Rhinolophus ferrumequinum: one gene and its partner. The protein of the gene in region 1 interacts with the protein of each later gene in a pairwise test. Links are inferred from orthologs where the notes say so. Each region holds a gene or a part of one and is shown in the gene's direction. Other genes may lie near its edges. The genes, in order: GAD1 and HAAO.

Region 1 (15,833 bases):
TAAAGCAGGAGAGATAGTGTATCTTCATCTCTTAATAAAAGTTATTCTCAAAGTCTTTCCATAGGAAGCGTTGTTTGAAAATGATCATTCTGTAAAGGTGATAAGTCTCAGTTCCCTGTCTACCACTGGACAGTGCCTTAGGAGGAAAAGCTCTTCCCCATCATAATAGGCACCAAATTCAGCTTCTTCCTTAGTATCAGAAGAAGTCAACCAAAGGCGAGACAGAATACTTAAATCAGTAGACAATATCATCGTCCTAGAGCTAGCTACCTTCTCTTAGCCTGCAACCCACCAATGAAAGAAAATAAGAGGACAAACACTAAAAATCACATGTGCTAAATGGAATTAAAAGAATAGTTACGAAAGTTGTCTCACAACTTGCTAACTGGCTGCTCCCATTAGGCTAATTGAGGTCTCCGAGGGACTCTGACTCTTTGAGACTTCCTTCCTTCTCTTTTCTTATCTGATTCCAGGTGTAGAAAAGAAACTGATGCAAAATGACTGCCCACACTCATTCTGCAGTTGCTAGGTGCCTTCCAGATGGCCAGCTGAAGAGGTTAGGCATATATTATCTATTCAGCTGCAAAAATAAAACCCAGCAAAACATGCACTGGGTGGTTATGGTGTTCTAGGAACCCTTCTGTACTGAGAATACATTGGTTGAAAAACAAAAAGCAAAAGCACCCTGCCCTCATGAAGCTTACATTTTAATGGGGAAGAAAAGCAATAAATTAGTAAAGTATACAATATGTCAAGTGATGTAAAAAGTGTTATAGGAAAAGAGGGAAGGGCTAGGGAGTACTATGAGAGGGGGAGAACTAAATTTTAAATAGAAGGATAAAGCAAGGTCTCACTGAGAAAATAACATTTGGACATTTGAGCAAAAACCAGAACAAGGAGGAACAAATGCTTACAGATACTTAACGGAAAGAGCGCCCCCCACCCCCAAGAAGAAGAACAGTAATCGCAAAGTTGCTGCAGTGGGAGCGTGCCTAGAATGTTCAAGAAACAGCAAGAAGTCCAGTGTCACTGGGGCAGAATGAGGACTTTGTCACAAAACTGGCTCCCTTTCACCCCTTCTCAGATGAGTCTGAATATTCCATCAGAAAGTTTTCTCTTCTAGCAATCAAAACTTCTCGGTGGGTTAAAAAACCTAAATCACTAAGGGGAGTGCCTCAAATCTATGTCAGGGGATGATCAAGCTCTTCTGAAACAAATGGGCAACAAAATAAAATGTTAGGCTTAGCTTATATGTCCAAGGAGAAAACATTTAAATGGATCAAAATCATTGGTGAACTAAGGAGGAGGAATGGGAACAGGAATAAATATTTATTGAACACCATAAACAAGGCACAGTTGAACTTTCTAACGTGAGTCTTATGGGCATCAAATAAGATAGCCCACAAAGTTGATACTAGCCCCCATTTTACTGATGAGAAAATTTAGATTGAGAATAAATGATAGTGGTCAGTAGAATCAAGATTTGAATTATCTGACTGACTTGACAGTTTTTGCTTTTCCTCCTGTAACAAGCTGCCTCGAAGAACTCAAGAGGTCCTTAAAAGGAGTCCATAGCATTCACAACATGAGAAGATGGTCCAGTGAGCAGAGTCACAAAATACTATCACTAAATTATTTCAGATAAATGAAGGCTTACCTGGTCTCCTCTGATAACCTACCCTCCCATTATGGGAGTCCAGAGAGATTAAGTGATTTTTCCAAGGTCAAATGGTTATTATTTGGCAAATAAGGGGAGGAGGCCTCAGTGAGCAGTGTACAGGGCACTGGGGCTGAAGGAAGTCCCCTTTCAGCTCACTTCTCAGTGTGTGGTCTGGAAAGTCCTCTGAAACCTCTCTGGATTTTAGTTTCTTCATCAGCAAAATAGAGGTGATAGTTAAATGAGAATTCATACAATAAACACCTAATTTCCATGTCGTATTTCCGAAGTGAGAGACACACAGAGAAAGAGGTCTCTAATGTACTCCACTCCCCTCCACCACCACCACCACCAGGAGGCCAAACTGGGCTGCCTATGCCAAGGTATTTCTCTAAGTCTCACCTTGGCTCTCCCTGGCCTGGTGTCAGCTACTACCACAAAAATGCATAACACATCACCCCAAAACTCATGGGTTTGCAGTTAAGTTCCATTCCCGTGGCCAAAGTAAGTCACATGGCCAAGCCCCATATCAAGGGGTGGGGGTTGGAGGGAGTGGAGTATACAGTCCTGATCTGTGGAAGAGGGAAAAAAGTTATACCAGTTCAAGTGTCTTTGACACTTGTCCATGATTTGTCCCTGGCTATGAAGTAGAGACAGTGTGCCTATAGGCCCCAGTGAGAAGGTACTCGTTATTTAACCCTCATATTTAGGGACTGCCTGAAGTTTCAGGTTGTGCAGATCTAAAAGATTCCTGACTCATCCAAGAAAACAGGACCTCAGCCTTGCAGTTGAGAGTAAGATAGAATGAGCTCCAGATGACTAACTGCTTTGGGAAAACCCATGGTGTGGGTTTACAGATGAGAACTTTGTAAATAAATTCCAGTGAGCTCTTATACAGAGGTACCAAAACAAGGTATACACATTTTAAGAAAGGAAAAAAAAATATTAAAATTGTAATATATACCGATAACGAAAGATGAATACAAGTCATGTTTGACTTCTGCAATTACAAGAGGTGCTCAAAGTGCTTACCATCAGCGTCCAGACACTTCTGATTATGGCGAACTGCTTGAGTGTTGACTAAAGTGGTCCACTTGTATACCTCTTTTTGGCACCCCCTGTATGTAAGTTCTTTATATGAAGGGGACTGAGCTAGAGCAGCAGTGATGAATCCCCTCACGTTAACCTTCCAGTTTTCTCCCCTAAGTAACTGGCCAGGATTAGAGAATAAACCTGATCTGAAATAGAAGTTTGTTATCATATTCTCCACAACTAAGTCAGAACCTTCTCCTTAAACAGCAGTCCCAGACATCTAAGTCTGAAACAAGGGCTAAATGCCCGCTGTTTTAAATAGTTCGAGTTTTCACACTGAAAGAAATGGATAAAATATCACTATACCTAGCATTCCATTTCGTACTCTTTCACTAAAAGCATCTCATGGGAAATCACTTGCATCCCACTTTTTTGGGAAAGGACTGATTTTGCCTTAGTTTTTGTTGAGAGAAGAATTGAAAACATAGATATGTCCTAAAAGCTCTGTGTCAGAATTGCAATCCAGAGCTGTTATTTCCTTGGTCTCCAATTTTGCAGAGAAACACCTTGCCTAATATCAAAGAGTTCCCTTCCCAAGGCTACCTTGGAGGAGCAGCTCTGTGGGAAAAGGATACTCTGCACCCCCTTCTCTTTCACCAAAGCGACAAAGAGACTGAGTGTTTCAGGCCACTTCCAGCCCCAGCATTAAAAAAGGCCCTGCTTTGTGAAATATGGCAGGGGATGGGTGAACTGGAAAGGGCCTGCAGTTTTCCTTGAATTGCTCCCCTGGGCCCGTTGTTTCTCCTCAGAAATTATAATCTATCGCCACCTAGTGGTCCCTTTGTCTTCATATTTGGAATGGCAAGAATTGGGCGTCTAAAGATTTGTACATTTGCCCAAATACAAATCACTCTGTCCTCCTTGATTAATTTCTTTAATATTGGAATGTTTTCATGTTCAGAATGTCAAGGGAGAAGGGACTATTTGACTATTATCTGAGCAATTCAGCTCTCTTTTTTAGGAGAAAAGGTTGCAATTTCCGGAGTCCTCTCCAACGTTCTGGTTGGAATTCTGCCTCCCTCGCCACCCTTTTAACCCTTTCCTATCTCCCAGGAGTGAGTGTAGTGTGGTCTGTTGGGGTACCGGTGTCGATTTAGCCGTGGTCCCCAAAGTCCGGATTGATCTGGGGAGCTAGCTTTAGAGTACACAAACACACCGAATAGACCGTAGCTCCAGCCTAAGAAAAACCGAGTGTGAGGTTAACAAGGCTTCCCACAGCCCTCCCTGGTCTCGGGAGACAGACGTTTAAATGGTGATCACTGCCATTTTCCCCCCTTTTCTTTGGTCATAAATAAGATACTTAAAATAGACCTTAAATTGCCAGCTGAAATGAACCAATATCATGACTCTAAATTACCTTTCCTGGAGGCTAACAATACTAAATACGTCAAAAAAAAAAAAAAAGATTGACGTTTCTTGTTTACTCACCTTGACGTGGACCATATCTTACGCATAAAAATCTCCCCCGAAGCCCGTGGGGCGCCCCTTCCATGTCTTACTCACCCCCCACCTACTCCCTTTTTTCCTTTGCCGAAAGGTTGGGCTCCAAATCCAGCTGGAATATCTTTAAACCTCCCAGGAAAAGGGCATTGTGGGCGGAGGGTCGTGTTCCCAAGTTCCAGCCAACGTTGACCTAAAGGAAGGTTGTTCTTGCGGACAGGATCGAGTAGCCAGGGCTTCAGGCTCGCAATCCCCGGAGAGAGTCTGGAGGGGTCGCACTCGCCCACCCCTACTGCCTCTGGGCGTCGCGTTCCCGCTTCTTCAAAGCGCTAAACCTTAGATCAAAAGAAAACGAAACAGCTGGGCGGATACCACTCCCTTCCGGGCCATCCTTCATCGCCGGTTCGAGTCCCTAGAGAGGACATCTTTTCCACCCCCATTGTCCAAAGTATTTTCCCGATACTAATAAAAGATGAAAAAAAAGAATGACAAATATAAACAAAAAAATACAGATCCCCAAGTGTTCTGAAGAGCCAAAAGACAACCACAACCACCCTCCTTTTGATTTCTAATCGGGGAAGAGAGAAGCGAAATACTGCACCCCACCGCACTCCCACCAACAAGGGAAAACAAATACAGCAGTTACTGCCAGGGGTCGGGGTGGGGGCGGGTGGGAGGCGGGCGGCGTTGAGCTGGGTGGGTTGGCCAAAAGCTGGGGACGGAAGCGTGGACCAGAGAGGTTTCAGGGAACCTAACTGTGGGGGCTGTCCTTGGTGCTGAAAGAGCCGGGCCCTGCCTCCGAACTCGTGCTGAAACTGGGTGCAATTCCAGTTCCTTACTATCTCCGCTGAGCCCACGATTCTGGTTGGAATGAGAGATAATTGGAGAATAAATCAAAGCAATTAAGCCCCCAAGTCTGTTACTCTCCCCGCCTAGCTGGAATGTCAGCTCCATGAGTGCAGGGATAATGTAAGTTGCTTGGACAGTGTAAGCTCCATGAGAACAGTGTCTGGCACACAGTAGGTGATAAATAAATGTCCGTTTAATTAATTATTGATATTTAATTAAACATTTTTTTAAATTAAGGACTAGCCTTCATCCCTTCCCTCCCTCTCCATAAAGGAGAAAGGGAGGAATGTCCTCGCTCCTGGACCAGACTCAGCTTTAATTTGGGATACCTAGTCTTACAGGTAATTTCTTTTTCCAATGAGACAATTTTCTTGGCTACAACGTTAGGGGTGAGTGGTTATGGACACCGGGGTCAAAGAGGGAGTCATTGGAAATATCTCAATTTGATGCCACAGGTGAAGGTAAACGAATCTTCCTTTGAAAAATCTCGAGTCTTGGGAGAAGGTTGGGGAGACAGAGGGTGAGAGGGCGTCTTCCCCGCACAGCGGACCCCGAGGGGCGCCGGGATTTGTTGCCTCCTCCCTCCTGTCTCCTTACCCCTCGTCTTGAATGATTTAACACTGGCAACGGGTTCCCTGATTGGTGCAACATCTCTTTTAGAGAGGACAGAGGAGGGGACGAGGTGGAATTCCGAGCCGAGCCTTATGATAAACCTCGCGTTTCCAGCGTGGTGGAGAAGCTGGGAGGTGCAAGGTTCCAAGGGACATTTCCTGTGCGGAGTGGGCACACCCACCGTGCTCAGACCCAAGCTCCTGGCCTGGAGCTGCTGTTACCTCAGTTGAGGATGCTTTTGTGTCCTTAAAAAGTTCCTGAGCTTTTATTGTAAGGTGGAGAGAGGGCGACAGTATTTTCTTTAGTATCAAGGGCAACGCGGTTATTTCAAACCTGACAGCGAGATCCCTCTTACTGATCGGACTATATCTTCTCAGGAAGAATCTTCAATATCCCTTATGGAATTTTCAGTGATTTGTAAGATTTTCAGCATTACCACTGTGGTGAAAGGCGATAAGACATTGAAGGAGATGGGGAGAGCTTCGGGTGGACCAGCAAGGCCGCAGACATGCCCATAAATAACCCTTGCCTGCTGCATCGCAACAGGGAAAAAAAAAAAAAATCACTGTGTAAACGGGAAAAGCAATCGCTGGTTACAGGGTGTCATCCAGACACAAAGACCAACTTTGTTTTGCCTTAAAGTAAACGAAGTTGAGGTAAAGAAAAGGGGAGAGCATAACTTAGCAGGGAGGGTGGCTGAGGGATGGACTGAAGGGGCAGGAAAGGAGCAGCCCCGCCCGCCCCTCCAGGTGTAGGCTCTGGCGCATCAGGAAAGACCAGGCTAGTACAATGCTTCTCGGTCTCTGGGCGCCTGGCGCCCTCTGGTGGAAATTTTTCCGTGAACGCTTTTTTGTGAGGAAGGACTTTCTGAACGCGGCAATTCATTAAGTATGCTTAAATACTGCGAAAGGAGAATCCTTAAAAAGCAAGGGCCCGTCCGTACACGCGCGCGCGCGCGCACACACACACACTGGTCAACTCTGTGGTCAGGTTTCCCGTGGGTGTAGAGCGGCGCTAGTGCATGTTATTACCTTCAGATATGATCAATCAGGATTACTTCTTTTCCCATCACCAAGGGGACTAAAGCCAGCGAGGAATAGAATGAAGAAATAAAAGGGAATCACTATAGTCAAGCTGCTAAATTACTAAAATCAAGTAGGTTGAGGCATGAAGAAACAATCCTATTCTTGTTTTAACTAGCTTGGGAACTTAAACTTTTTAACTTTCCAATCTTGCGTCACTGCCTGGATGTACATCAAAACCTGCAGATAACCCTCTGGTTACCCACTGAAGGACTAAGAAAAGAACGTTCAGGTATCCCCACCATCTGATTTTCATTATCCAGATCACCTGACATCCATTATCCAGACCACCGGTCATCTGAGAAGATTACCATCTGGGACCAATCCAGAGGCTAAGGATGCAGAACTGATTCTTCTCAAGAATGTGTACTATAAGAACCCTCAGCTTATCTTTCTTCATGGGAACACTCTAGGTATTACCTAGTTTTGTTTCCAGTGTGCAAACCCTAAGACCCTTGAATAAACCGTTATCATTTATTTCTAGCCAAAGCCTCGATTCATTTACACCAGGTGCACAGTAGGAGGGAGCACAAAGTGGGTGGGAAACTGGACCCTTTTCTCTGCCGTGGCACTGGGTAGCTGTGCTCAAGTGAAGTGCTTTGGGGAGGCCTCCAGCTGGATGAGGAAATAAGTACAAAGAAGATGGAGATTCCTTCAAGGGTCTAAGTGTCATTCCCCGCCCTCCTGCTTCCTTTGCTTTTACAACAATCCTGGCTCAGTAGAAAGCCAGCGAGGACACAGCTGTCGCTCGAGGAAGCGTGGCGGGGTCGCAGATCTGGAGGAACGGCGGGGAAAGAAATTGAGGCAATACCACTGTTCTTGTCTTCTCCAATATATGGGGACGGGGGGAGGAGAGCGAGGAAGAAGCGCTCAGGGAAGCAGAATTCTTCATAGGAATTATCTTTTCCCTCCTCTTACCCGACATTGCCTATTTCAAAAAACAGAACGTGTTGAGTACGTTCTGGATTACTCATAGGGCCCTCCCCCCACCCCCTCCGGGCGCAAAACCGTGATCTGGATTTATAATCGCCGTATAAAGCTCCGGAGGCGGTCAGGCACCTGCAAAGTAGCCCCGCCACAACGCCGACAAGCTGCCCCCGGGAGCTGCGGCCTCGTGATTCCTTCGCCGAACGGGTCCCGCCTCCCCACTCCGCCCCCGCCTCCCCCGAAGCCAAGCAGCCGCCTCTCCCGGTCGCTCTCTTCTCCTCCGGGCGCTCGCGTGTGGGACGGTGATAGTGGGAGCGAGGCGGCAGCTGGAGGTGACGCCGGGCAGATAAAGCCTGTGGCAGGGCCCGCCGAGCCAAGCGGATCGCTGAGCGCTGCGCAGAGGAGCGGCAGGAGCGCTCGGCTTACTGTGGCCGAGCCCAGGTGGGTAAGCGCATGGCCGCCCGGACTTTCCAGAGCCCAGCCTTAGCGGTTCAGCTGGGTCTTCTCCACCCGCGGTTTCTCCGCCAACCCCCATCTCCGGCGTCCGCCATCTACCCTCCGCAGCCGAGTGAGTGCCGCCCTCCTCAGTCCTGGCTCTCCGCTGGTGCGCGGCTCAGAGACCCCGGCCCTCGCACTCATCCTGTCCCCACTAGAGCGATTCACGCCTCGGGGATGCAGAGAGGCCGAGGCTCGCGCAGAAGTGGATCGAAAGCGATTTTCTCCTGCGCTTCCTGGCTGCGAGCGTCCGTCTCACCTGACGGCTCTGGGGCAGCAGCAGCTGAAGGCGCGACTCAGAGCGGTAACCTGTTACTTCCTGAGAAGCTGCGGTCTACCCGCTGCCTGCGTCGCTGTGCGAGTGTGCGCGCGGAGCTAGGTGTGGGGTCTCAGGGAGGGTGAGGAGGCGGTGGGCCGCGGGCGCTACTCCGCTGGATCTGAGACCTTCCCAGATTCGACCGCACGCTCTCTGTCCCGGGGCCTTCGGACGCCATCGCGCCCGCGCCGAGCGCTGAGCAGCGGCGCTGAGCACCAATCCTTATCTGCTGTCTCCCGCGCCCTGGGCGCAAGTTCGTTTCCCCGGTGACGTTCCGGGTTCTTGCCTCCCTCACCCACTCCGAGTCTGTGCTGCGAGAAATCCGGGGACCTCAGAGAGTTGGGTGGAGGGGAAACACAGAAACCTAGACCAAGCTTCATCCCAGGCTTCGAGACGGCTCATAGTGGGGTGGGATAAGAGAGACACGAGCGAGGATGCGACCCGCTGCTTTCTGGCTGCCAGGCTTGCAAAGTGACTGTAGTTCTTTCCCTGCCAAGTCCGAAGGAGAATTTAAAGATCTGGACCCTCACCTTTTCCTCTCACCTTGTCTCACCAAAGTCCTCGGTCTCCAGAGCAGTTAGCCTCCTTCCCAGGGAATTAGCCAGACACAACAACGGGAACCAGACACCAAACCAGACGTGCCCGCCCCGTGCGCCCTCCCCCCGTATGCCCGCCGGCCGGCTGCTGAGAACCCAATGGGGCTTGTCGCGGCTAGGCTGGAAAATCGCTCACTGAGCCTCCCTTCTCCTAGCCCAGTCCCCCGCACCCTCGCGTCCTGCACTGGCCTAGGGCTCCTCTAGACTCAGCGCTGCGCTCCAGGTCGCCCCGCTGCTCAGCCAAACTGGAGAGCCGCCGGGGACTACGTTACCGGCTCGGGAGTCTCTGAGCTCGCGCGCACGTCTCCTCCTCCCCCCTCCCTCGCGCACCCCGACCCAGCCGGCTAGCTGCCCTTCCTCCCACCTCTCTCTCCCGAGCCTGGACTTCAGGAGGAGCGCCCGCACTCCGAGCACTCAGTAGCCTTTTGCACGCCGGACCCCGGAAGTCCTCCCCACACAGCTATCGCTTGTCTTTACAGCCTGTTCCTGCGCCTGACGGGCCGAGGACCCCAGACTGCAGAGGCCCCGGGACCACCGAGCTCATGGCATCTTCGACCCCTTCTTCGTCCGCATCCTCTTCGAACGCGGGAGCGGATCCCAATACTACCAACCTGCGCCCCACAAGTAGGTCCTGTCCCAGTTTTCCATCAAATCGACTGCGAGGAAGGTGGGGGCGCTGGGACGTGTGGAGGCTACGCTGGCGGAAAGGGAAGGAGGAGCGCAGAGATGATGGAGGCTGGAAAGAAATGGGGCCCTGACCCGATCCTGGCCAGAGGTCGTTCTACTGACAGGGATGCTAGGCGATTTGGGGGCGCTGGAGAGTGGGAACCGTGAAGGGTCAAAGTGGCAGCGATCCTTGAGGGCTTAGGTGCGAGGGAGGCTCCGGCGGGGAGCGCGTTGTTTTTGTTGTCTTGTGTGTGGACTCTTTGCTTGGTGGGACGTCGAGGGTCAGGGTAGGGGATGGTGTGGGGAGCCCGGAGTCCCAGCGGGAATTGAGTCTTCTGTCTCCTGCTTTCGTTGGGACGAGATTAGACCCCCCTCCTTCTTTCCCCCTGCGCTGTGCTTGAAGTCTATAATCAGCGGAAATTTCGACGTTAATTGCAGCTTTTAGAAAACTCGGGGTCCCTAATTGCTCCAAATTTGCGTCGAGCTAGTGACGAGTGAGGGAGAAGTCAGAGGCGAGAAGGTGCATAAAATGGTTTGAGATGGAGCCTCGACATTTTAGACAATTAATTACATCTCAGAGACAAAAAAGAAAAAAGAGTGGGCAGCATCCTGAGTGATGAGAGGTGGGGAACCAGGAGGAGGCCAGAAGGTTTGCCAGGGCAGGAGAGAGCACCCCTCTCTTTTCTCCCGGGCAGGAGACCTGTCAGCAATTGACATGTCCCAAAGAGGGAGGAAGAAAAGGGGAACTAGATAAGGGGGGGGGAAGGAGATTTATGCTTCCCCACCTCTGGTTCAGTGCGCTTCTCAACCCTTTTCACAATCTCTTTAATTCAGATTGATTTCCTACTGTTCTGTGGAGGCATGGGGAAGAGAGAATTGTTTTTCTTTTTCCAATTTGGCTTGAAATGTGCCTCCCCCCAAATCTATCAGCACCAGCTAATAACCGCCCCCAATTTTCTATATAAGTGGGTCTTAGGGATGGCAGTGTGTTTAGGAGGGCTTATTGCTTTGCTTTTATGGCACTTTCTATAAGCTTGAGAAAACGTTGATTGTTTCCATCAACGAAGATGGGGAGTGTTAGGGGGTAAGACCCCTTCTCCCCCCAACCCGTTGGCGCTGCCACTGGCTCCCAGGCTGGAGGCCTTGTCTTAAGTCCTTAGGCTGCATTCCAATTCCATTTGCAGCTCCCTCTCCCCGCCCCCCAGGCGAGCTACAATTACCCAACACAACAAAGAGGGGCTCGGGAGAGCCGCCAGTCCTGGTGGCACGTGAACCGGGCACGGGCTGCAGAGCTGGTCGGAACAGGCCGGGAGGAACGAGAGGCCTGCTCGCCTTTGTCTGTTGCTCCGGTCTTGATGGATTCCTTCTCCAGTCCTCTCAACATTTCCCGCCCCTCTTTTGCTGTCTGGTGGGGCTGGGAGGCCGTTGTGTTCACCCATCCTTGAGTCCTGCACCCCCACTGCCAAGCCACGCTCCTTCTTCTTTCCCGTTGCAGCCAGAGGTGGAGCGCATGTGCCAAGCCCCAGGTCCGAGACCCAGTAGAGGCTTTGACCTGAGTTTGCACATGACCTGGCGCGACCGGAAGCCTCCGAGGCAGAGGGAAGATAGTCGAGGACCCAGCTGGGAAAGAGCATGCAGCCACTTGTCCAGAGAACGCTGTCGATGGTCCCCAACCTCCCAGACTGCACGCTAATGTCGGGCTCTCTGTCCACTCTCTCCCTCTGTTTTGCAGATTCGTCCTCGCTCTCCCAGCTGGCCTCACTTCTGTGCCCCTGCAAGGTCTCCTAGGAGGTGGCCTTGCCCAATCTACACAACCATATTCCGCCACTTGCGCCCAGGACCCCTCCTTCTTGCTGTCCCTCCTCCCCTTCCACTCACTACACCAAAAGGGCTTTCTCTGTACCTTTTGCCATCTCTCTTTCCCTTTCTTTCACTGTAATCCCCAGCTCTGAAAGGCAGAGCAATCAGTCTGAATTTCAATGCCCTATCTGAGTGACCTTGGAAAACTTGCTTAGCCTCTCTGAGCTTCAAGGTTCTTATTTGTAAAATGAGTCTTAGGTTAGCATTCTTGTTTCATAAGGTTGTTATGAAAATTAGCTGAGATGGGTGTTTAAAGTGGAAGCTCTTTATCGGGTGGAAATAGCTCTTTACCAGCTCGGTATTATTATTAGGGTTTTGCTTTCGCACCGATTTCCTGTCTGTTGCAGGAACTCCATCTGTGACCGCCGTCTCACTGAGTCGCGCTATTTCTTCTCCCCGCTGGGGTTCTGTTGTGCCTCGTTTTAATGGATGTCACTCTCCTTATCGCAGCCAACACTCATGCAGGGCTGAAGGCACCGGTCAGGGTTGGATGGGGGATGGGAGTGGTTGGAGGAGCTTTGCTTTGAAGGATCCCCAGGGAATTTCACGCTCGGCCCGCCACAGCAGCTCACAAGCGGGCTCTGCGGGCACCCCTCAGGCTCCTTGCTGGAAGGTGAACCCCAAGGGCAGGATAGACCCTGAGGAGTTTGAAACTACGGCAGGGCCAGGGGAAAGGTGCCTGATTCCCTTCGCTTTCGCCTGCTCCAGACCCGAGATGTCGAGCGAGGGAAGGGTTAATGAGGGGCAGGTTGGAAAGAGGGGGCCAGGGAGGAGGAGTGGGACTCACACTATTGTCTTCCCGACTCCCCGGTCCAACTGAAGAGCAGCCATGCGAGCCCGATCATCTAGTCAAATACTATTTTTCACCCAATTAATTCCTGAACTCTTCCGCGACCCCATTTCATGCCAGTTTATTTTAAGCTGCCACTCGGCTGGAGACCCGCCAAGAAATTATGAGACGTGTTGGTCCCAGATGCCTCTGTGTTCCCTTTCCGGGCTGCTGTGGTTGCCCTTCGAGTTTGCGGGGCAGAGACCAAGGGGCAGGGCCTGGCGGGTGGGTATTGGGCAACTCCAGCGGCGGAGCGTGACCCTTTGCACTTGGGTTAGCCTGCCTCACTCGGACGCTGCCTCCTCCCGGCTCCCTCGCGTGGGTTGCTTGGAGTTCCGGCGAGGCTCTGGTGCGTCGCCTCTCAGAGATACCGTTCTGTACCTGAAAGTGGGAGTAGGAGGGGTGTGTGAATGGGGACTAGGAGGGCACGAGTCTGCTCGTCAGCCCACAGATCTGGCTCCTTGCTCCTTTCAGGAAAGAGAATTTAATGAGGAGTACAGGCGAAGACCTGCCCCACCCTCCCCAGAAAACCTTTGCCCTCAACCCTGTCCCTCAGGCTCTGAGCCTCACTGATCGCACCTCTCTTGCTTTCTAGCGTATGACACCTGGTGCGGTGTGGCTCATGGATGCACCAGAAAACTGGGGCTCAAGATCTGCGGTAAGCGAAAGGGCCGGCTGGGGCCCGGCAAGGTGGCGCGTGGCAAGCGGGCTTGGAGGGTTTGGGAAAGTGAGACGCACGTGGAAGGAGATCCCGGCTCTTGGGGATGATTTTCCTAATGTACCTGCAGCCCTGATGCCTGGTAGAGACACCCTCCTCTACAGGCCTGGACCCTCTTCTGCCCTCCCCCGACCTAGCCCCAAGGGACCATCTCCAAGGCTTCGGTCCGGGACTACCTGAGACCGTGGGGCTCCCTCTGGGGTGTCTGGGCACGAGAGCTCGAGCACAGCGGGCCCACCCGGGTGTGGCAGCGGGGCTATTCTTGTCCGGCGCGGGGCGGTTCCAATCCTTACGCTCTGCGGGTGTCTAGAAGGTTTTGTAGAAAAGGTGAACTAGTCTGGCTTTCCTGGCTCATTATCTGCCTAAGACGGTGGCTGACATATTGTCCCCCTTCCCTCTCTACCATCGCGCGTTGAAAGTGGCCTCTCTGGCTTGAGATTTTTTGCCCCGAGATGCCATAACGGATTTAGATTTTGTTCTTTGTGGCCTCGAAGGACGGATTTAGATTTCGTTCTTTGTGGCCTCGAAGGCCAAGAGAAAGGAATAGCCTGCACCCCCGATGGCCTACCTGAGGGAGATGCGGGCAGCACAGGCCGGAGGGTTTGCGGAGCTCGCCTTTGAAGGAAAGGAGGTGAGGGAAAGGGAGCAGGCGGGGGCGGGGGGCCGCAAGAGGGAAAGGGGGAGTTGGACACGATTTGCCAGAGGAAGCGAAATAGATCTGGGAGCTGGAGAGGAGAACAGCTCTCCGGAGACGTGAAGGTCTGAAATGAAAACGCCCAGGGAATGTAATTTTTTTTTTTTTAAGGAAAAAAGGAGATTTGTTCGAAGGGACACAGCCGAGTGGCTCCGGCTGAACAATGAGGATTTGCTTTCCTTGCTACAAGTCACCGTCTAAAATCTCTAGCCTTATCGGGCCAGAAAATACTGATGTCCCCCGGCAGGCGGTGGAGAGGCGGGGGAAGATTAACGAGGGTCTTATTAAAGAGCCATCCGTCAGCTGCTGTGCGCTGGAGATAGCAGCAGAGCGGACACCAGGCAAACCCGCCCGCCACAGCCCAGGAACGCGCCCCCGAGCCATCAGCCAGGGGGTGTGCTCTGGGCCTGATCTTCCCAGCTTCCCGGCTTTCCTGTGTCCCTGGCCCAGGGCAGCGGCAGTTTGTGGTCGGAGCAGAGAGGGGCTATTTAGCAGCTTCTGGGAACCATCCTCCCTTCCCTGAGCGGCCTGCTTCTAGGGCTCTGTCCCCTGGATCCCGGAAGCAGCATTTACTGTGAAGAAGGGTTGCTCAACTCCACACCTAGCCATTTTCCAAGGAAAACCCCGCCCTGCCTCGCCCGGGTTTGACCCTCTTTCCAGCACGCGAGGCCGTGGGGCGAGGCCGGGTCGCGGATCTCGGGGGGCTGGGGCAGCTGGCAGCAGCCGGGGCTTTGTTCTATAAATAGCCCCCTACCCCCGCCGCCATTCCACGCTTAATGGCCCGTTCAGCGCCAGGTCCCTTCGGCTAGGCGCTGGGCTTCAGCAGCAGTCATTGTCATGCAGCCGGGCAAGCAGAACTGAGCGAGCCCTGGGCACCCTCTGCAGTAGAGAAGAGGGTGGGGGAGACTTGGGGTAAGGGCTGTTTTCCCTAAGGTCCTGGGCCTGCCGGGGGTGGGAGTGGGGGACGCAGTCATCGTCCACCCGAGTCCCCACCTCCTATCCTCAGCACAGGCGGTACTCCCAGCTTCCCAGACTGCAGGCCCTCGGAGTCTGTGGGAAGAAAAGGTCTAATGCCCCCTTTGAGGAAAACCAAAGCGGCCGGAAAGGGTAAAGGGGCAGGAAAGAGTTGAGCTTCTCTGGATCCCAGAATGTCGGTCTCCGAGTTTGCATCAACTTCTTCTGAGGGAGAGCTCTTGGGCATTTGGGGCTACCACCCTCAGAGAGTTTCTTCTCGGTTTCTACCCCCCACACTAATTTCAGGAAAGTTGCAAAGCAAAGTGACAGGAGAAGAGGGCTGGTACTCCATTAAGGGGAAATTGCCTTCTGCTGAAATGCTTGCTTTTGGGGGCTGCAGGTTAGGAGGCTTCATATGAGGTTTGATTCTGAAAGAAAAGAAAACACCAGGAAGATATATTTTCCGTACTTTGGACCAACTCATTTTAATCTAGAGGAGGCAAAGTGCAGTCTTTGGTTTTGACCTGAATCCACAGCCCCGTCCACTCCTTTCATCCCAAACTTTCTGTGGCCTGAAGGGTGCCCTCTGTGACCTGACACTATTTGGGGTTGGTTTGACCTTTCACCTTAAAATAGCAGAGGGACTAGACTATGGTCTTCTTCCCACCTCCTAATCCATTGTGGTGATACCGCCCCCACCCCCAAACTTCTTCAGTGCCTTGCCAAGATTCTCCCCCCACCCATTCTCCTACCCCTTCCCTGGAACCCCTGGGAATGAAGCTGCAAGGAAGATCTTGGGTCTCAGCAGTGGTACCCTTAGCTCTGGAAGCAGAATCCCCTGAGAGAGTAATCAGCTATAAGAAATCCTGGGTCTTGTCAAGAGGTAAAGACTGGGGTGGCTACCGGCATGGTGGCATGACCCAAATGAAAGGAGAGGCAGAGAGTCGAAGTTCTGGCTCGGGGCTCTGCTAAATTCCCAGCGTGTCCTTGGGCCTCCCTCATTTATCTATGCAGAGGTCCCAAACTGGCTGCCAGTTACAGCCTCA
Region 2 (15,647 bases), on another chromosome or scaffold:
CTTTTTCATCATCCCAAACGGAAAATCTGTACCCAATAAACAATAACTCCCTCTTCCTTCTCCCCTCAGCCCCTGGTACCCACTATTCTACTTTCTGTCTCATAGGTACTTCATATAAGTGGACTCAGACAATATCCACCCTTTTGTGTCTGGCTTATTTCAGTTAGCATCATGTTTTCAAGGTTTATCCATGTTGTAGCATGGGTCAAAATGTCCTTCCTTTTTAAGGCTGAATAATATTCCATTGTGTGTACATACCACATTTTGTCTATCCATTCATCAGTTAATGGACACGTAATGTGCTTCCATCTTTTGACTATTGTGAATAATGCTGCTATGAACATGGGTGCACAAATCTCTGTTCAAGTTTCTGCTTTCACTTCTTTTGAATACATACGCAGGAGTGGGATTGCTGGATCATATGGTAATTCTGTTTAATTTTTTGAGGAAACACCATACTGTTTTTCATAGCAGCTGCACCATTTTACATTTCCACTAGTTATGCACAAGTGTTCCAATTTCTCCACATCCTCCCCAATACTTATTTTATGTTTGTTTGGGTTTGTTTGTTTGGTTGGTTTTCCCTTTGGAATAGTCATCCTAACGGGTGTGAAGAAGTATCGCACTGTGGTTCTGATTTGTATTTCTCCAGCGATTAGTGATGTCCATCATCTTTTCATGTGCTTCTTGGCCGTTGGTGTAACTTCTTTGGAGAAATGTCTATTCAAATATTTTGCCCATTTTTAAATCGGTTGTTTGGTTTTCTTGTCATTGCATTTTAGAAGTTCTTTATATATTCTTAATATTAATCCTTTATTAGATACACAATTTGCAAATATTTTCTCCCATTTTGTGGGTTGCCTTTTCACTCTCTTGTGTTCCTTGATGCACAGAAATGTTTTATTTTGATGAAGTTTTATGTTTAGTTTTATAAGAAACTGCCAGACCCTTTATTTCCAAAGTAGTTGTGCCATTTTATGCTCCCACCAGCAATGCTGGATGTTCCAATTGCTCTATATCTTTGTCAGCACTTGGTGCTGTCAGTCTTTTTAATTTTAGCCATTCTACCGAGTCTGTAACAGTATCTCATTGTAGATTTTGTTTGTATATCCCGTTGTGTCCTGCACAACAAGAGTTGTGGGGAGCGAGAAGGGCAGCGCAGGGTTAAGAAAGACTGTAGCCAAGAATAGAGTGCAAGCGGAGCCAAGGGACTCCAGTCTCAAAGGACTGAGCCCTGAATCGGGCCAACACATAGCTTTTATTGATTAACAAATGAGGAAGTTAAGCTTGTTAATCTCAAGATCCGTGAATTTCCCACATTATACTAGGAAACCGATTCAAACCAATCACCCTTGCCTGCAGACAGCAGAACTGTAAGTCTCAGGATGTATGTACCTCCCCAAGGGACAAAACCTTTATGCATATGAATAGATGGAGAGTTGGTATTATCACATCATTGAATCTCTTCCCAAGCAGGATGTGGGAAGGAATGTAGCCACAGAGGCAGAAGCTCTCCTTAGCCGGGGGAAGGTGGGGGTCTGTGCCCACCTCTATCAACCCCATGAGTTCTCCTGATGGCCCCTATGTGACTGTGACTGTCTTAGGTTGTTCCTCCCTTGAGGACTCTTACCCGTCATTGACTAACCAGCCATCCTTTGGGGCCAAACAAGGAGACATAAGGTGTAAGCACAAAGGTGAAGCGAAGTCCATGAAAGGATCTGTCTCACAGACTCACCTTTCTTTAGGAGTAGGTACGAGGGGACAGACGGGTAGGTTGCTGCGTGGCAACATATTCCTGATGACTAACGGTGTTGAGCATTTTTTGATGTACTTATTGGCTATCTGTATATCTTTGTGAAATATTTGTTCAAATCTTTAGCCCATCGTTTTGTTTTTTGGGTGTTTTTTTTTTTCAGTTTGTTTTACCTTTGGAGGTTTTGATCATGTTTTTATTAAGTTGTAGGAGTGGCTGATATGTCTTAGTTTCCTCATCTGTAGGTAGCAGGTATGAATTACGCCATGACACCTGGGCTACAAGAAATGCCAAGCTCAGCGGCCATCCAGTGTCCTGAACTCATAAAAGCCCACATATGTCCACTTCTATCCAAGGCATGTGGGATCATGCCAGGAAGAATAATGGAGTGGAGGGGAGGGGCAGTGGGGACTGTCTAACACAGTGCAATTTGAAGGAAGGAAACATTCAGTGGTCCTTGGCAAAAAGAAGAAAGAAGAACATGAAGCTATAGAATATCTCCATGGGAAGAAGGAGGGAGGCAAAGGAGGGAGAGCCCACACTGCCCTGAAGCCAGAGAAAATGGAAATGCAGCTAATACATCAGCTAAACTGAAAGCTCGTAAGAGAGCTGGCCTGAGTGTCTCTCCCCAAGGTCCTTCCACCTGTGAGGTGACAGGGGGACAGAGCTTCCTGTTCTATTTGCAGAGAGCCCTGAAAAGCTGACAGTGACCATAGCACTCAGCTGTCCTTCCCTGCCCTGTCCGTCCAGTAGGGTCTTGGCTGAGGTTGCAGGCTCCATCCCAGGACCAACAGCCACTTTTGATCACATTAGAGAGGCAGTATATTGGAGGGCCAACTGATTTTATTATCTGATGTGCCCATCTTAGAATCTAACCCTCCCTGAGTTACAAATCACAACCATAAACAAATCATGTAACATACAGAATTAAGCTTATGAAAGTATATTAGTCAGGAGACAGAAACCACATCCATTATTTAACAAAAAGAATGTAACACAGAGAACTGTTAACTAGGTTTAAAGTTATTAACTAGGTAACTGAAAAGTCAAAAAAGAAAAAAAGAAGAAGAATTCTGCAGGATCACAGAACTAGCAACTGTAAGAAGCTGCTACAACCCCTATGGCTGAGGGAACCTAAGAAGAAATTGAATTACTAAAACTTGGAAGTTTTAGTAATAGGGAGACTGTGAAATTGAAACCCAGTCGCTGAGAGGGCACGCCAGCTTCTGGTATCACTTTAAAGCTGATTCTGCGAGAACTGGGAAAACTGCAAATTGGATTTAGAAACCACGAAGGGAAGGATCCAAGATGATAAGCCCAAGAACCATAGGCAGACAGGGGACAAACAGGACGCAATCGAGAAGGAACAAGTTCCTTCTTCCTCCTATGGGGCCTGATGGACCAGCTGGTACATCATACATGGAGTTTGCAGAATCCCAGACCTTGCATCACAATGCAGAGCATAGAAAGTGAGTTTCAGGCTGAAAGGCAGGAACTTAATTACTGGCACAAAGAGCTTAATATCATACAGAATGCAGCCACCCTGCAGGCAAAGAGGAATGTTTTGAAATAATCTACCCATCCTCTAGTCACCCAGAAATGTGAGCGTTGTCTTATAAGGAGACCAGACCAAATGTCCAAGCATCTGCCATATAGATTTTCCCTTTATTACTTCCTTTGGAGGTTTTAGCTCAGTGGTTCCTAAGCTTTCATGTCTAAGAATTATTGCAGACTGTACTTTACATAAACTGCTTGGGTACTTAGATATAAAGAATTTTGTGATTTGATTTTAACTATATTGAACTTTTGTTTTACTAACTTGAGAATCAAATCCCTAATCCCCCAACACCGCCAAACACTACAGTCCCTGGAGTCAATCGGGGCAGAACTCTTTAACAAGAAACATTATGTCACAGTAGAAAAAAGCACAGGTCTCGATTCCAGTTAGGCACAGGTTCTTCATATTGATACCTCTACTTACCAGCTGTGGACCTTTGGGGGGCGCTAGTTCATACTCTGAGCTTGGGTTTCAGTTTTCTCATCTGTATGTGGAGATTAAATGAGAGAATGTATGGGGATTAGCACAGAGTCTGCCATGTAGTAATCATTCAGTAATGGAAACCAGAGACCGTGTCACTGCTATTATTGTCATAGTTAGGCTCCTGAGACCTCACACCATACTCTGATCCGAGGGAGAAATTTTTCTTCAATGATTACTTGAAGAGAGAACTGGCTAAGAGAAGCAGCGGTGAGTAGCAGCAGGTCCAAGTGTCAAGAATTTCTCAATAGTTTCCACTGAGTTCCCAAAGAAGTAAGCATGGGATTGAGAGTATAAGAGTGCTGGGACCAAAAAAGACCGACAAGAGCAAACCATGGTGACAATGTGGAGAAATCAGAACCATCACACATGGCTGGTGGAAATAGAAAATGATGCAGCCACTTTGGGAAACAGTCTGGTGGGTTTTTGGTTTTTTTTTTGAAAGGTTAAACACCAAATCCAGAAAATGAAAGATATAAATAGAAAATAAATAAATACGTAAACACACTAAAGCACAGGAAGAGGACATCTCAATAGACCTGGAGCTGAACCTTCAAGGAATGACTAAAAGAAGGCAAAAATTAGATTGAAGAAGGAAATCTCAGCCCCAGTGCATACAGGATCCAAGAAGAGAGTCTTCCCAAGGGGACTGGGAGCAGCCATCAGACCCAGGGGTGCTTCAGACCCAGGGGGTGATGAAGATGTGAGAGGAGATCCAGGAAGGACTGCTTGGGTACTTAGTTGGGGCACCGAAGCAGGAGCAGGTGGTCCATGGCCCCCATGCATCCCTGTCTTAGCCCAGGAAACTGTGATGGGATGTCTGTTCCAGGTGGGAGGGAGCAATGAATGTGGGAGTTTAGAGCAGAAAGACAAGGCAGTACCTGGGATGGCGAGGATCACCCAGGAGAAACTGGGAGTGCCCAAGCCCAGGAGACCAGCTGCTGAGATACCCTACTTAGTGGCAGGTCTTGCCTACACCCACTCTGAAAATAGCTCGGAGTACAACTTGTGCTTCTTCACCTCAGTGGGCTCTGCAGAGACAGCCTAACAAAGAACGTCCACCATAAAGATGACCTTGCCCAAGGATCCCTCAAATTTTGATTTGAGAAAAAGCAATATCATCAAAAGAGATGAGCCAGAACCTTTCCCAGACTCCCCTGAGGTTAGGTGAGAGCGTTGACTCAGTCTCAGTTTCCGCCAGTGGACTGGGGCACAGAAATGTGTACACTACTTCTGGCCAGATCTGGCCTATAAGTACCTCCACTCTCCCTTTTCCTCTTTCTGCCGGCTGGATTTCAATGCCCAGGGTGATATTGGAAGTTACACGATGAAGGAGACAAGATCCTGTGTCAACTTCTGTCAAATCAGGTCCCTAAGTGTGTGGGGGAAGTGCTGCCTCCCCATTGCACTTCACAGGAATGAGAAGTGAACTTCCATTGTGTTAAACCACTGAATTTGGGATGGGTTCCCCCCCCGTTACAGCAGCTCATAGTATCTTCACTGATAGAGAGTTTACAGTTTAAAACAGTTTCCTTGGAGAAATAAGGGAGTGTATCACATCCATAAAAAGAAGTTGTAGGAAGGAACCAATTAAAGACTTTGTAAATAAAAATATGAAACCATTGAAATTTAAAACTCAGTAGATGAGCTGAACCATAGACTACATCAACTAAATAGAAAAACAGTGAACTGGAAGATTAGACAGAAGAATATTCCCAGAAGGCAGTCAAATGGTGCCCAACACTCAGGCCAGGAGGCTTGCCAGTTGAATAGACATGGTGATTTATTTACGCAGCACAAACTAGAGGGCAGATTTGACGGTGACTGTACAGCAGACTAATTAGCCTGTGGCTAGGATTCATCTGGATAATTCAGACCCCAAACATTCACTTGTGACCTCAACTATTCATGTTATTTGACCAGATATATTAAAATACAGAGTAACTATCGTTCTTTCCTTTGTACTATGCAACAGAACATCTGTTGAGCTGAACTCATTTTTTTTTCTTGCCTTTTACTGTGAGTTCACGCATGCCTTTATCCACCAACCCACCCATCCATCGGTTTAACAAACATCCACACCTAGCACATCACAGATCCTGGGTGTTTCACGTGTCGCTGCTTAGATTTCCACCGATTACTCATAATGAGAAAGACAAAAAATATAGTTTGAGTTATTTTGATGCCAAAGAATATTCTAGAAAGAAATGCTCAGTTGAAAAGTTCTAAATGAATAATTAAAAAGAAAAAAAGAAGGGAGAAAGGGGAAAAAGAACTCGGAGTGGAGAGGAAACAGGAGGGTCCGCCCCAGCAAAGGCGGGCGGGAATCTTATTTCCTATCAGTCTGGGTTGTGATTTGCATGGGGGCGTCCCCGTGTCTGGGGGTGCTGAGAACACCAGCCTACCCCAGGCAGCAGGGAGGGGGCAAGACATACTGGGGTGGGGGTGAGCAGGAGTTGGAGACATTTCTAATTTCTTGAACTCTGTAGTCAGGATTCTGGTGCCCGACCCGTTCTCCCCCACCTACCAGCTCTCCACCCCACCCTCCACCGACACACACGCGCAATTTTCCTAAGAATTCTGAGTCCGGAAAAAAGAGAAGCGAGCCGGTGTCGATTGCCCTTCCCCCTCCCCCGCACTCCGCCCGTTTCGTCTCCTTCACACCCACACACCAGGCCTCTTCTGAGCCCCCGGGGTAACTGGGTTAGAGCCTCTCACACGGGGTATAACACGAGCACAGGTTTGTCCGCCCTCCCCACCCCCGCACACCGAGAGCTCGGTGCTTCATCTGTAAAACTTCTCATAGAATTGTCGTGAGAGCCCTAAGACACCGAAGGAGCTTAGAACAGTGCCCGGCAGCTTGACCCTGTCTGTACCCCCCACCCCACCACCACTATTACAGGTGAGCGGACCGCGCCCTCCAGCCCGGCCCGGCGGGTCCCTGTCGTGCGCCGGGGACCCCGCAGCACTGCGCTCATGGTCTCTCCTCGCGTCCTTCCTGAACCCGTCACCCAGCCAAAATCAGGGCAGCCAGCGGCACTCAGTAAACCTGGGGGTTCTGGCCTGACTCCATCCTCGTGACAGGGAAGATAACCTTAATCGGGTCTGCGGTGGCCGCTCCACAACCCTGAGATGACTTCGTCGACATTCCCAGATTTCCGATGAGGAAATTGAGGCTTCGATCCAGTGCCAGCACCCCTGGACTCAAGTGCTCGGGTTTCCAAACCCGCCTGCTCTCCACTACAGTATTTCTTAGAGGCCCAGGAGGAAAGTCTGGGGACAAAGGACCAGGAAGGTTCTCGATGCTATGTCTTACGCCTGTCTCAGGCTCCCAACCCCCGAGCGGGCGTGCGGAGCGCCCCCAAATGTGTGGCAGGGCCGAGCTGGTGCCTGGAGGGGAAGCGGTGGGGTGGGGGGCGGTGCCGGGGCACTGGGACCAAAGGCTGACAGTGGCCACCGCGCGAGTCCCCAGCCCCGACATCGGGGTTGCCCCGCCCTTTGACCCCTGGGATGCTGATTAACCGAGGCGGCCAATAGGCGTCTGGGCGGAGACGCGCCCCTCCGACGGCTCCAGGACACCGCTCAGAGCACAGCTCTGGGGAAACCATGGAACGTCCCGTGAGAGTGAGGAGTTGGGTGGAGGAGAACCGAGCCTCATTCCTGCCCCCCGTCTGCAACAAGCTCCTGTGAGTCCCAGGCTTGCCCCCCTCCTCCTGTCCTCTGTCTTCACCTTCTTCTCCATCTGCATCCCTCAACCTCCAGGTCCGAGTTCCCTGACCCAGAAGCGTGCAGAAAGGGGGGCTGTCGTCCTCATAGTGTATTCAGGGCGGGTGTTCTGTTTCCACCACCTTCATCTGTTCCTCTTTCGAGTCTGCTGTGGAGACTGTGAGCCTGACTTCTGAGGTTGGCTGGGTGAACTGAGGCTAGGGGAGATGCAGATGGCAGGTGGCAGCCCTGCCCCCCAGGGCTGAGAAACAGCTCCACCCCACAGCAACTCTCAGAAGTTTGGGGAGGGTGGTTTTCCATGCCCCAGAATTGCAGTAGGACCCAGGTCTGGGGACAGCCCAACCACACACCCCCACTCCTGTCTAGGAAGCCACAGTCAGACAATGAAGTCAGAGGGTTGGTCAGCTCCTGTAGGAGGATTTGGATTATTACTCTTCCCAGTTTTCATCTTTGCTGGCAGGCACACACACACACACACACACACACACACACACACACACACCAGCTATCTCTATCCATAGCACCCCACAGAGCTGATGGTGGTCCAGCTACCATGTTTCCCCGAAAATAAGACCTAACCGGAAAATAAGCCCTAGCATGATTTTTCAGAATGCTCATAATATAAAATAAGCCCTACTGTGTTTCCCCGAAAATAAGACCAGGTCTTAATTTTTGCTCCAAAAGACGCATTAAGGCTTATTTTATATTACGAGCACCCTGAAAAATCATGCTACGGCTTATTTTTCGGTTAGGTCTTATTTTCAGGGGAACACGGTAGTCTTTCTCCAGTAGACCCCTCAGGCCCGCCCCTCTGGCCCCTTCACCTCACTCCCCTTCCCTGGGCTCCTGTGGCTTGGCCTGCTGTGCTCCCCAGCCCCAGGCCCCAAATCCCATGTTTGTTGTGTCCACAGAACAGCTCCAACCTCAAAGCACACAACTGCAATCCAGAGACTGTGCTCAGTGCTTTTACATCATCTCATTCAATTCTCACAGTAGCCCCAGGAGGTGGACTTTTACAATAAGTAACTTGGCCAGTGTCACAGAGCTCAGGCAGGACAGGGTCCAGACTCAAGCCCATGCAAGAGTTTGACTCCAAAGTCCACACTCTTGGTCACTGCCAGGGCTAACAGCCAGCCTCTCCCCAAAGCTTCGTCTCTCCCACCACTGCCGTCACCCTCACCTCCTTCCTCACTTCAACCCTGTCCACAGTCTCATTCTCAGTCCTCCAGTTTCTCCCTCAGCCGTGTCTCATATCTACCTACTCCTCTCCAGGCCCAGGGCCACCGCTCTGGTTCCGCGCTCTTACATCCAGCCTGGGCAGTTCGGGCCTCCCCTGTCTCACACCCCCCACGCAGCCCTCCAGCGCTGCTCCAATATTAGTAATCTCAAAACGTAGGCCCTCTCTTTAGTCAATCAGCAGATGTTCACTGAGCACCTGCTACATGCCAGGCACTGTTCCGGACACTGGAGAGACAGCAGGAAACAAACTGAAAAAAGTCCCTTCTGGTGGGAGGAGTCAGGCAATAAGTATTAACGAACAGGGGGTGGGAGGCTGCAGGAAGACCTGGTGGCCACGGGACAGAATAGGGCTGTGGTTTTACTCCCATGTTGGCGAGGGTTGTGAGGGAGAATCTGCTCCAGGCCTCTCCTCACTCCGGGAGGTTTACAGGCGATCTTTGCATTCCTTGGCTTCTGTGTCCTGATCTCTGCCCTCATCTTCATAAGGCATTCTCTTGTGTGTCTCTAAATCTCCCCTTTCATAAGGACGCCAGTCGTATTGGATGAGGGGCTCATCCTACTCCAGTATGACCTCATCGTAGCTTAACTGACTATGTCTGCAATGACACTCTTTCAAAATCAGGTCACATTCTGAGGTACCGGGTGTTAGGATTCCAACATATGAATTTGGGGCAGGGGGTACATATGAATCTGCTGAGGGTTGTGAGCAGAGGAAGGACATGACCTGGCTTATGTACTCTGACTGACGGGCTGAAATAGCTCTTGAGTGAGTTCATTCAAGAACTTTCCATATGTACCTAAAGTGTATCTCGGTAAAGATGACTAAAAAGAAAAAAATATATCCCAGGCTCCCTGGCACCCCCTGAGGCCAAGACCAAACTCCTCGGCTGAACTCTCGAGGCCTGGAATGACCTGGTCCCCGTCTTGATCCAGCCTTCTCTCTCACTCCCCAAGACCACTCCCACACCACCAGGACCCCCATTGCGTCTCGTCTCAGGGCCTCTGCCCCCAGCTTCCTCTTCCACTTCCTTCCTCAAGTGCCTCAGAGCTTTAAGCCCAGCAGTTTGGGGGGAACAGACAGTCTCATAGTCAGACAGCTCTGGGGCGTGGGGGGTAGATAAAGGTCATTTTACCCCTATAGGAAGTGGGCCTTCAGTTTGCGCTCCTGTGTGTGGAGGTCTTGAGCACAGCCCAGGGATGCTGATTGATGAAGAGACAGATCCACCACCACACTGTTCCCCCTACTGGGTCAGAGGATGAGGGGGACACACACACTCCAAGACACAGACATAGAAAGACACAGGCACGTACAGTCACAGACAGGCACTCAGAGGCACGTGGGCACCCTGGGATGCGATTGGAAGGGGACAAATGTTGAAGACTGACAGGAACAACGATGCAGAAATAGCCCTGTTACCTCTCCCAGGTGTACCCAGGCTCCCTCTGGGCCCCCCATAGACCCCTCCTGTCTTCTCCCATGAGCCGCTTCAGCATCTTTTCCCCCACATGCTTTGCAGGCATCAGGAGCAACTCAAAGTCATGTTCGTCGGAGGCCCCAACATCAGGAAGGATTACCACATCGAGGAGGGTGAGGAGGTAGGCCTGCAGACTGCCCCTCCCCTTACCCCGCCCTGGGAGCAGAGGATGGCTCCCGTAGGACCAGAGCCTGTGGACAGAGACGGGGTGGTCAGATGGCTGATGGGTAAAGGGCGCTCAACTGAAATCACAGGGTAATATTGTTGCCTGGGAGATGTGAGCACCCAGTGACGCCTTTGACAGCTCCATCTTCAGAAAGATCTCAGCCTCTGCAGGTGTGAGAAGCTCTAGCTATTGGTCTCACCCCCTGGACATGGGCTGTCCATGCTCCGGTGGGATGCCCTGGTCCTCTCTCACAAATCTGAATATGCAAGATTGGCCTCCAAAATGAGACCCAAACATTGGGAGGGACCTGGATGCTCCACTCTGGTCTTGGGAGCCAAATTCTCTGGGCAGCGTTGGGGCTGGGAGGCCCATCCTTATGTAGAGGGCACAAGACACATCAGTTGCTAGAAGCTATTGGAGAGGAGGCAGGTAGGAGGGGAAATCTGCAATTTGCACTGAATATCCTTTTGTACTTTGAATTTTGGATTGTGTTTCTATTCTACCTACATCAAAGTAAATAAACAGAAGAAAAATTAAAAGAAAAAGATGGGCCCTCTTACAAAGGGACACAGATGGGTTTCCAGGTATCAGATTCTCTGGTGGCAAAGGACCAATTATGGGGCCCCCTACCTATCATCCGGGGGGGCCTGGTACTGGAGTTCAAGGTCCAGAGTCCAACTTGGTCACCAGCCTCCACCCCCACTGCTGGCGACTCAGCCACAGCTGGGGGCGCGGGGGGACTGAAGGGAGCACGAGAGAATCACTCACTCAACAAATGTTTCCTGAACACCTAATGTGTGAGGGGCAGAGGGGTGAGGCCCCGGGCCAGCGGGGACAGCGCTGCAGAGCAAAGCTGGTCAACCCCTCCCCTCTCACACTTCCAGGGCCCATACCTCCCCTGGCCACCCCTTCTCACAACCCAACTCACTGGAGGCCATTTTCCTCTGGGAAAGAAAAACAACAGGAAAATCCAAAATAGCAAAGAGGAGACTGGATAGGGGAGACGAGGCTGGATGCAGTGTCTCTCTTGCCTGCCTCAGTCAGCTTCGAGCCCCCCATCTTGTCTTTCACTCTGTAACCCTGATCTCATGGCCCACTTCTCCTGTCTCCCTCCCTCCTTCCGTCCCTTCTCGCCCCTCTACCACCTCTGTCCCATGCCCCACCCTGGGGCCTCCCCAAACTGCTCTGGTGGATGGGTGTCCACTGAGGGACCCAGGCCAAGCCCTGACTGAGCAGGGAGGCTGACAGATGAGGAGGGCTGGCCTGAGCAGGTGTCCCCACTCTGGAGGGTGGCGGGGAGGAATTTGGCTAGAGGTGGGTTTGTAACAGCCTGGACCCACCCCTGAGGTGAAGGAGAATACCAGCCACAGGCCCTGGAAAGCCACAAGGCAGGGGGTCAGCCTCCTCTCTGTCCCAGACTCCATCCACCCTGATGAGAGAGAGAAGGGGAGTCACTGAACCAAAATTTCCTCCTTGCTGAGCTCAAGCCTCAGCATCAGCCCTTCAGGTGCCCCAGCTGCACACACCACACATACCTCACTTACCCCAGTCCTTCCCTTGGGGAGCATAGGTGTGGGGTGGGGGGTGGGTGGGGGGTAGCCTGGGTTGGGAGTCGGCCTCTTCCTAACCATGTGACCTTGGACAGGTCACAGCACATCACTTCTCTGAGCCTGTTTCCTTGTGGCACATGGAGACACTGGCCCTGCCTGGTGGCGCACAGTAGGTGCTTAATACACATTGGTTCTCAGCCCCCTCAGCCCCTTTCGAGCATAATTCCTTTTGGATTGCCAATGGCTGTTTGGATTTTCTATTGTTCAGGATCTGAACCTCTGCTCCAGGCCAGGCCTGACCCTCATCACAAGGAAAGCCTCTAGGCAGAGAGGCAGGACTGAGAAAAATTCCACCTCCTTCCCATTTTTATTGGATAGCTGCTAACACTTTGTACCTTCCGGATAGGTTTGAATCTGCCCACAGCATCAGACCGCTTTCCCTGATATTTGCAAGGCCCAAGGGCTATGTCCCCCTCCCTAGAACTTTCTGGGCCCTTCCTCCTCTCCCAGTGCCGCGGGAAGTGCCCCCCACCCCACACATACACAGGGGCTTCCTCCCAACTGGAGGTGTGGGGGTGGGGTTGCAGAATTGCTCCCTAAGAGAATCTGGTAGGTATTTTCTTGTATGTTTTAAACATCTTGCATGGGTTATTTCCAATAATAAAAGTGAATATTGTTTTTTTTGTAGAAAACATGCGAAATATAAAAAAAGACAAATGCATCCCTCATTCATAATCCCACCACGCAGGGAATCCCAACACTGTGAACGCTCCCTAGGTTTACACACTTATTGCCATGTAAGTAGAACCCTGCTGGGTATAGTTTTGAATCTTGTGTTAACATGATAACTTTAGCATTTTTCATTTTCCCACCTTATTAACAGTTATTCAAAAATCAGTGGCTGCATAATATTCCATATTTTGACTGTCATAAAATCATGACATTTCCCCTCATTATTATTAGCATTATTTTTGCTATTCCTGCCATCACTAATGTTAATAGCTCCTGGCCTACGAGTGCTGACCCTGTGGCGGGTACATTGCGTAGTGTCCCAGCAGACTTCACAGCGACATTCTGAGTAGGCACTGTCATTTTATAGATGAGGAAAGGGAGGCACAGAAAAGCTAACTGAATTGACCAAGGGCACATGGTGACCTAGCTGAGCTGAGGGTCAGGTAATGCTGGAATCTGGGCTTTTAACTGCCATGCAGGTGACGAAACAGCCATGTATGTGCACCATGAGGCAGGTGCCTGTCTGATTCACTGCAGCCACCTCCTAGACACGGAATTAGGTGGTAGGTCAAAAGCATAAGGTGGCCACTGTCCTGGTTTGTCCTGGACTTTTCCAGTTTCAGCACTGAAAGTCCTGTATCCCAAGAAACCCCTCTGGCCAACCCACAGGGGTGTGAGCTGTGAAAGTTCTTCCTGCCTGTGGCCAAATTGCCCTTCAGAAGAGTTGTGTCAACTTGTCCCTCACGCAGACCACATTGCTCTAGTTTCCCTAAGCTTGGCTTGATTTCTCTTAGTAGATGCTGTGACAAGAACCTCTATCACCTCTAACTCCTTACATGATAATAATATTATTATTAACACCCCTTCAACTATTTGGCTGTGGTTTTAACATTAGTGTAATGTGTGACTGGTGGTGAAAAACTGTGCCTGCCTCCTTCTCTTCCCAGCTCCACTGGGTGATCTCAGCAAACACATTAATTAGGGACTTAGGACAGAAGAGGGAAAACACGGTAGGTGCCCCCTCCCACCCCACCCCACCCCACCCCAGGGAGGCAGCAGGAGGAGAGTGCTCCCATCCCCCATAGCTCCCGGCATCACTGAGTCCCTAGTTTACATGGCCAACCTCCAGAGGGACTTGAACGGGCACAGCATCACCGTTGCCAGAGGAACCAGCACAGGCTCCAGAGCTACATTCAGACTTGGGTCCACACAGGGGCTCCAGAACTAACTCTGTGACCTTGAGCGGGTTGCTTTACTCTCTGAGCCTCAGTTTTCTTTTCTGTATTATAGGACTAATAACATCTTTGGACGTGGTTGGTAAGATTTCGGATCATGTATAGGAAAGTGCTTACACAGCCCCTGGGACACAGTCCATGGCTGGTTCTCCTTACCTGCTGAAGGGTCACTGAGTTCTCCAGTGAGCAGCTCAGCCAGCCTCCTGCCCCCAAGCCAGATACCAGCTGTCGTGTCCTGGCTTCTCTGGTCATCACTTGCGTGTCAAGATGTGATCCTTGTGTGTTCCCAGCACTCCCGTCTGTGGCATGTGGCAGGGGAGGGTGGGGCCTCAGGGCAGGAGTGACATTGCTGCTCCTAAAAGCCCAGGCCTTCAGCACCTTTCTCAGGTTTCCCAGTCAGAACTCAAGAACCTGGAAGAGGGAGGATCCGAGCCTGTCTGCTGTCCTGTCCCACAGGTGTTTTATCAGCTGGAGGGCGACATGGTTCTCCAAGTCCTGGAGCGAGGGAAACACCGGGATGTGGTCATTCGGCAGGGAGAGGTGAGGCTGGGCCCCCGGGGTCGGGAAGCAAAGGGCCACCGAAACAGGAAGCCATCCTGCCACGCATCCTGGCTTTGGTGGAGGTCTTATCCCCCTGCCTTTTCCTGCCCTCCTGCCCACCCTCTCAGCTCTGGCCCCATTCTCTGGCACTTTCTCCTCTGGGCTGCCCTATCCTCATCACAGACTGACATTCTCTCTAGTCAGGGGAGGCCGGGCAGAGAGCTGGGCTGAGCTGGACCCTGTGGGTCAGCTGAGAAGGACAGGATGCTGCACGCCCTGAGGTCTCCGTGGGGGATTGCAGCCTTGTTGGCACCTTGTCCCCACAACTATAGATATTCCTCCTGCCTGCTGGGGTCCCCCACTCTCCACAGAGGTTTGCCAACACTGTGGGGTTGGTGATTGAGCGGAGGCGGCTGAAAACCGAGCTAGATGGACTCAGGTAAATGGACCTTGTCTGGGGATCTGGGGCAGAGACGGGGGGTGGCAATCAGCAGAGGAAAGGATCCTAGATAGACACTAGGATCTATCCAAGAAAGCACTGCCTGCCACGGAGTGAGTTGGAGATAATGGAGATCCAATATTTGCTGGCGAATGGAAGAGGGGTTAGGGTAGGTGGTGGGTGGATTTGATGGTGGTGTGCTGGATGTGACCCCCTGGGATCCCCTGGGAGCCCCCTCAGCCTGAGGACCTTCTGGCTGGGACCAGAACCTGTGCTTCTCGCAGCCTGTGTCTCCAGAGTTTATTCAGTCTCTGCCAGGGCATCCCTCTGCTTGTTTCTCTGCACCATCTCATCCCACAACCAGTGCTAACATCTGTCTAACACTTGCTGTGGGCCGGGCACCGGGCTAAGCGCTTTATGTGTATTTATTTGTAATATCCTCACAGTGATCCTGTGGGGCAGGTACCATTACCATCTGTCCTTTACAAGTGAGGAAATGAGGGCACAGGGAAGTTGAGTTTGCTAGAAAATGGCAGAGCTGGCATGATAGAGAAATACGAAATTCGGGCCAGGACAGTCAGGACAGGAGTGGGAGTCAGCCTCAGGGAGGGGACGACACGGTGCAGGGACGGCCACGCCGTTCCTAGAGCTGAGTACCCCTTTGGGTCCAATCAGTCCCCCGATTATTATCCTCTGAAAGGAAGGCACAGCCTCTGGCTCAGGGGGGCAAGGAGTTTTCCAAAAGCGAAGCTAC

What was found.
Region 2: the proteins of GAD1 (region 1) and HAAO interact in a two-hybrid assay, tested with the Homo sapiens proteins (4 studies listed by BioGRID and IntAct). The two-hybrid records come from large-scale screens. The link is inferred for Rhinolophus ferrumequinum from reciprocal best matches to the Homo sapiens genes GAD1 and HAAO.

The regions. Positions count from the first base shown.
Region 1 is NC_046291.1:53,438,355-53,454,187, reverse strand, and holds the start of GAD1 (glutamate decarboxylase 1), read left to right. Parts: upstream 1-7,618; 5' UTR 7,619-8,100; intron 8,101-8,257; exon of another isoform or gene 8,258-8,458; intron 8,459-9,545; 5' UTR 9,546-9,608; coding exon 9,609-9,690; intron 9,691-12,652; exon of another isoform or gene 12,653-12,770; intron 12,771-13,016; coding exon 13,017-13,079; intron 13,080-15,833.
Region 2 is NC_046296.1:42,033,234-42,048,880, forward strand, and holds the start of HAAO (3-hydroxyanthranilate 3,4-dioxygenase), read left to right. Parts: upstream 1-7,324; 5' UTR 7,325-7,397; coding exon 7,398-7,477; intron 7,478-10,273; coding exon 10,274-10,352; intron 10,353-14,370; coding exon 14,371-14,454; intron 14,455-14,786; coding exon 14,787-14,893; intron 14,894-15,647. UniProt on the Homo sapiens protein: Catalyzes the oxidative ring opening of 3-hydroxyanthranilate to 2-amino-3-carboxymuconate semialdehyde, which spontaneously cyclizes to quinolinate.